Linked DNA regions of Caenorhabditis elegans. The protein of the gene in region 2 interacts with the protein of the main gene of each other region in a biochemical or structural test. Each region holds a gene or a part of one and is shown on either strand. Other genes may lie near its edges. The genes, in order: nap-1 and his-51.

Evidence for each region.
Region 1: the proteins of his-51 (region 2) and nap-1 are reported together in a solved structure, tested with the Caenorhabditis elegans proteins (one study listed by BioGRID).

The regions. Positions count from the first base shown.
Region 1 is NC_003282.8:8,377,131-8,381,108, forward strand, and holds nap-1 (Nucleosome assembly protein 1-like 1), read right to left. Parts: upstream 2,190-3,978; 5' UTR 2,182-2,189; coding exon 2,056-2,181; intron 2,011-2,055; coding exon 1,843-2,010; intron 1,812-1,842; exon of another isoform or gene 1,690-1,811; intron 1,658-1,689; coding exon 1,490-1,657; intron 1,444-1,489; coding exon 955-1,443; 3' UTR 575-954; downstream 1-574. Other genes in the region: D2096.7 (ELYS domain-containing protein), read right to left, coding at 181-271, 318-500; praf-3 (PRA1 family protein), read left to right, coding at 2,860-2,958, 3,144-3,353, 3,753-3,850.
Region 2 is NC_003283.11:8,849,220-8,852,023, forward strand, and holds his-51 (Histone H2A), read right to left. Parts: upstream 953-2,804; coding exon 569-952; downstream 1-568. Other genes in the region: his-52 (Histone H2B 2), read left to right, coding at 1,245-1,616. UniProt on the Caenorhabditis elegans protein: Core component of nucleosome. Nucleosomes wrap and compact DNA into chromatin, limiting DNA accessibility to the cellular machineries which require DNA as a template.

The DNA.
Region 1 (3,978 bases), on a different chromosome or scaffold from region 2:
TTTTTCGCAACATTTCGAAATTTGAAGAGAAAAAAACCGACGACATTTAACTCGAAAATGTGTGCAAATACTTTTTCTGTTCTTCAAATATTTTGGGAAAGTAACAAGTATTTGTCTATTGAGACTAGAACTTTTAGGTAACACCAAACTGTATAATTGAGATAATAATAAGAAGATTACCATAATTTGAATATCTACCTTCAAATGAAAAACCAGTTGGCATTGATTTACATAATCTGTTGATGGACGCGAAAACTTCCGAAGAGTTGTGCTGAAGAACAATTAAATACATCTGAAAGGAATGTGTTGGGTGATACCGGTAAACGTCCAAAGTTCGAGTCTTGGTAAATTAAAAAAGCAATCCTCTCGCAGAGACGAGTTTTCACATCATATCGTCTTTCGTTTTCGATGATAATCAATATCTCTGCTTGTGACAGTCCTAGCAAGTCTAGCGATTCCGAGCACTGTGCTTTTAAGAGGAGTTGGTAGCCGTCCAACATAATGCAGAGGGTTTTGAAATAGACGATCTCTCCTGAAAGATGTTCCAGATGGCAAGACCTCAGAAGGACTGAAATTCGCAACAAGGGATTTTATTCATCACTTAATGCAGGATCACGAAAATATTGAAATTCGAGTTCAAAGTCGACTCGTGCCAGCTCATTCAAATCCTATCATAACTAGTATGAAGAATTTGCGAAACAACATACACCAGGATGAAGACAACATGTATCAAGTATTTCGACGACAACTCGTTTTCAGGTATATCTTTAGAGATTGGGAGAAGCGGAATATGGATAGGTCAGGGAATAAACGACAACAACAAGTAACAGCAACAATCGGTTTTCCGCCTATTATGTGAAGGGGTTGGGAATAATCAAAAAAATTTTAAAAAAGAAAATGGAAAATTAATAATTTCAAAAATTGGCAAATTAATAAGTGGTCCATCGATACTGCTTAAGCCTCATCGTCACTGAAGTCTGACACATCATCACCGTCCTCTCCTGGGAAATCGAACATATCGTCTGATTGAAGTTCTCCAGTGTAGAAAAGAACAGCACGTGGAATGATGGTATCACGGATAGCTTGTCCCATCTCGTAGTCGAGCTCAAGGAACTCCTCTGCCTGTTCATCGTCCTCATCTTCATTTCTCTCGTCCTTGCTCTTTGGTGGCTCGAAGAAGTTGAAGAAACTATCTGCTTTCACAGTTTTGGTGAGGAACTTTCCAGCATTAGCTCCCTTCTTTTGCTTCTTCTTGACAGCCTTCTTGGTGACGTTCTTGCCGTCTTCCCACTCAATAGTATCTCCGACAGCGCGGATGACATGTGGTCCATCGAATTGGAGTGGTGCCTCCGCATCTGGGTCGAAACCGAGCAAGTAGGTCTTGGTAAGAACTTGGTTTTTGAAGTATGGGTTGGTGGCAAAGTGGAACTCGATTTTGAAACCCTGAAGTTCAAAACATTAACTTTCGAAAACAATGAAATGCGCTTACGGCTGGATCCTTGCTAGCGGCGGTCGTCACATCAGTGAGATATGAGAGGATTGGTACGTCATGCTCCTCGATGGCTTCAGCAACAAGATCATGGGTTCTGAGAGCGGTGAGCCAGAAATCCTTGATCCCCTTTGCTGATGGGTCAGCCTCCGCAGCTTTGTACAATTCCTGAAACAAAGAAATGTCAACTAATAAGCTGGAATTGTCATAGCCATATCATCGCGCAAGAAACACAATCCAGGAGCGGGAATAAAGGACATGTTTTATTTCGCAACGAAAAAAGGCGTGCCCCACGGGAGGCAAATCTCTTGAATAGTTGCAGGCTATATAGGGAATCTTGATTAGGAACTTACAGCGAGTTGATCTCCCTCGAGTCCTTCGAGGATTGGAGTGTCGATTTGTTCTTTAGTTGGCTCGACCTCTCCCGCGACAATAGCCTTTCTTTGATCGAAAGTGGATTTGAACTTTCCTTCAAACTCGATCTCGAGCTCGTGAACACGTTTGTAGAAGTCAGATTCAATCTGAAATAAATTATATACTTAAGAACATAAACAAAGAAAACTAACCTGAATTGTCTTCATTTGAAGGTTTTTGAGAGCGCAGACGCGTTGCTTGACATTGAGAGGCAAAGCCTGAATCATGTCGAAGTTGGTGCTGAGAAGTCCAGCGTCAATATGCTCTTGATCAGCCATTTTATTACCTACAAAGCATAAATAGATGATTTTGGCATACTCTTTCAAGCAAAAAAATACGATGATTTTCGAAAATTCGAGAAAAAATCTGTAAAATTATTGTGAAACGAAGCAGTGCTGTCTAAAATCATAGGACGAGAGTTGAAAATATATTTTCCAAACAACCACTTCGCTCCTCCTCCATAAAATGTCTCTTCGCGGTGAGACCCGCGGTTAAAGGCGCACACAAGCTTATTATTTACGAGATGGTCTTTCATGCCTATATTATTTTTTATCAATGTTTTCATATTGTCGTTTGTTTTCTGGTTTGTTTTGGTGATTTACATATAATAATTGTATTGATTTTTATTTATAAAAGTATGGATTTGTTATGATAGTAAATTCTCCTGAAATTTGATTGCATTTGAAACTAATTGTAGGCACTTTTTTTTTTAAATAAACAGTTTTTTGCGTTTCAAATTCTAAAATTTGATAGCTCTTCAAATAACCCACATCTTGGAATCATATTTCTCGTTTTCTCGATTCTCTCGAAGTTCCTTAAGCTATTAGAATATTACACATAGCATTCGACGCCAGATGTTCCCCCGTTCAGCACAAAACTTCTCACTTTACTTTAAATATTTTCAACTTCCGAAAATCTTAGCGAGTTTTCAAATTCATTGTTATTTTCAGGGAAAAATGACGACGTCCTCAGAAAATATGCAAATTATGAATGGCGTGGAAGTGCCACCGTTCAGAAATTTTCACGAGTTTCTGCTGGAAACCGATCGATACGAGGTAGGCTTGAATTGTTATTACATATATTTTTAAAGAAGGGCCAACTTTTGTAGAAAATATATTTACATATGTTGAAGTTTGACTAAAGTGGTCGTTTAAAATTTTTACTTAGAGTTTAATTTAAAAATAATCGAGTTTTTTATTTCAATATTCAAAAGATAAAAATCCAATTGATTGATTTTCAGCGTCCACCATTTAACGACTTCAAGAAATGGAACAATCGAATAATCTCGAATCTTCTGTACTTTCAAACCAACTACTTTGTTACAATCATCACTTTATTCCTTCTGCACACGTTCATCAGTAGCCAGGACATTTTCGTCGGTCTTATCGCCGTTGTCGCCGTAATTGCAACTCTAATCTTTGCTGTCTCGGCTGATGCAAATATCAAAAAGGTAATGATTGACGGGAATGTGATGTTTTTATATTGATAAGAAATTCGAATTGTTGACGGAATTGATAGGTACAAAGTTTTATTGGAATTTGGAATTCAAAATTAGTTTAAGTTCAAGTTTCAGATGCAAAACGCAGCAGCATAAAATTAAGCCATGTCCACCGTAAAAAATAAAAAGAGCTCGTTTTTACCGTTTACCTGAATAGGATAAGTTAACATATGTTTCACGTAACAGTTTGTGCACTTCGTTGATGAAAATTATTGTTGTGATAATCGTTTTTTTGCAAGTTAAAGCTAAAAAAATAATTGAAAAATATAGATTAAAACATGATGGCACATAAAATTGGTCCAAAAACAATTACTGAAACCAAGAATTACCAAAAAAAAATCAAGTTTTAAGATGCGCACGGATCATCCATTGGTCACTCTTGGAGGAATAATTCTCGTTGCCTATTTCTTCATTTCTGTCTTCCAATCCGTTCTTGTGGTTGCCTTTGCGTAAGTTTTATAAAAAATTACTAATGTTGTAAAACTGTTTTCATAAGTGGACAATATTCTTATTTAATGTAAATTTGTCGCAGTTATAAATGGACTTAATAATCAAATATAACTGTAAAAAATAAAAT
Region 2 (2,804 bases):
AGACAAAAATCAAAATATAAAACAAACGATTGAATAGTGGGAGAGGAAGAAACAATTTAAGATGACCGATTGGAACAAGTCCGTGGCCAAATGTGGGTGGGGGTGGTTGTGAGATTCATTGATGAGATTCATAGGTAAAGTGGGATAAACAACACATTATATCAATTGTATGTGTTGTGACGTCACTATAAGTATACTTCTGAGAGAACTCCAACAAGGCGTGTTAAAATACATCATATCAAGGGCTCTCTCTAAAATCATAGTGTTCAGCCATTCAAGAGCAACTTTGAATTTGGCGCCAATTTGTTTGAATTTTTAATGAAGAAGTCCAATTTTGATTAACAATTGTAAGAGAAAATATTGGAAAGCATTAAAAATTCTTTTGTGAATCAACTAATTTCGAGAAGAAGTTTCTTGATTGCAAACGTTGAAAAGATTTTCAATTAGTAATAAAGTACAAAAAAAAAATTGAAATACTATAATATATTTATTCAGTCAATAGAGGATTTGAAATATTTGTGGCCCTAAAGAGGGCCGTTGGGTTCGGTAAAATGTTTTAAGAAGGCATCTATTCCTTGTCTCCTCCAGTCTTCTTTGGAAGAAGAACAGCTTGGATATTTGGAAGAACTCCTCCTTGGGCGATGGTCACTCCAGCCAACAGTTTGTTCAACTCCTCGTCGTTACGGACGGCAAGTTGGAGATGTCTTGGGGCAATTCTGGTCTTCTTGTTGTCACGGGCAGCGTTTCCAGCCAACTCGAGAACCTCAGCAGCGAGGTACTCAAGAACAGCAGCCAGGTAAACTGGGGCTCCGGCTCCAACACGTTGAGCGTAGTTTCCTTTACGGAGAATACGATGAAGACGACCAACTGGGAATTGGAGTCCGGCTCTTGATGAGCGGGACTTGGCTTTTCCTCCGGTCTTGGCTTTGCCTCCCTTTCCGCGTCCAGACATGGTGATGATTGGTTGGTAGATGTAGAAACGATCTGAAGAAGACCATTAGACAGCACCCTTTTAAACACAGCTGCGGTGACTAGGCGGGCACATAGAGATAAGACAGATGGGGGAAGTGGCAGAGTGACCAAGAAAAACTATGCACTTTGTACATTCGGCATGAGAGACAGCATAGAAAGGTGTCCCCACAGAATGTCAATAGGCTCCTCCTTCCCACCGAAAAATTGTTATAAAGGTAATGGCCAACAACCCATTCCTTACACTTGTCCAACGACCAGTCCAATCAATCGAAATGGCCCCACCAAAGCCGTCTGCTAAAGGAGCAAAGAAAGCCGCCAAGACCGTCACCAAGCCAAAGGACGGAAAGAAGAGACGTCATGCCCGTAAAGAATCCTACTCCGTGTACATCTACCGTGTGCTCAAGCAGGTTCATCCAGACACTGGAGTCTCTTCCAAGGCTATGTCCATCATGAACTCTTTCGTCAACGACGTCTTCGAGCGTATCGCTGCTGAGGCATCTCGTCTTGCTCACTACAACAAGAGATCCACCATCTCTTCTCGCGAAATTCAAACTGCCGTCCGTTTGATTCTTCCAGGAGAGCTTGCCAAGCACGCCGTCTCTGAGGGAACCAAGGCTGTCACCAAGTACACCTCTAGCAAGTAAGCATTCAATTGCTGAAAGCAAATCACCGAACCCAACGGCCCTCTTAAGGGCCACAAATGTATTAAAATCCTTTTTCAATTAGTAGTTTATTTAATGAAATAAAGTTTTCTTCATTCTTCATCACTATTATTCTTATTTTTTCTTCTTATTTAAAATCTGATCAAATAATTGCCAATGAAATAAATTTCTAAATTCCCGAGGCGCAACGGACCACGGCCTTCAAAAGAGTACCTCCGGTCAAAACTGAAATTTTAATCATATTTTCTGAAAGTATAAAAAATTTTTTGATATTTTTTCAACAAATATATATGTTTTTTCTTCAAGATATAACAGGTTTCATAGTTAAAACTATTGTTTTCAACTGAAAAAAAGCAAAATTTACTTCAATCTTTGGAAATTCTTAGAGACAATCATAGATTTTGAATGGATTTCTGATTTGGAAAACATACCGATTAACTGATTTTCCTAACTTGCACCAAAATTGAGTTTTTTTCTTACCCTCTTTACTGATTCTTGGAAATTCTTAGAGACAATCATAGATTTTGAATGGATTTCTGATTTGGAAAACATACCGATTAACTGATTTTCCTAACTTGCACCAAAATTGAGTTTTTTTCTTACCCTCTTTACTAATTCTGTAATTAACTCAATACAGTTTTGGAAATTCGCTTTCTCCCATTAGAAATTCTATGTTTGGATGAAAAAAAGAATCAGTTAACAGTAGTTTCAATAAAATCAATCATATGGATAAATTATTACTGGTTTCTTCGTCTTTAAGAATTTTAAAAGTCAAAAAAGCGACTCACAAGTTCAAAATGATTGAAGTTCTTATTTAACTCTTTTTTTACTTTCCAAGTTCAAGTTCGAGAGGAATGTGAGAAATGTGTTTTATTTGAATATATCAAAAGCTAAAAAATTGATCCAGTAATTACAATTTCGCCTTTCTTGAATCCTAAAATGCAACCAGCATATTTATTGACCTGTCACTCTCTTGCAGAAGGAGCAGAAGAGGATAGGAGACAGCCATGTTGTCTCCGTCTCCCTACACTTTCCTATTCACTCTCTCGTAGAAGAGTCTCCCACTTTTATGGCCAACGCCGTCTGCAGGCATGCATGCATGCATGCATGCATGCGAACACCTAAACATTTCCTTTAATTCATTCTATCTTGATCCTCTTTTTGTCCTCA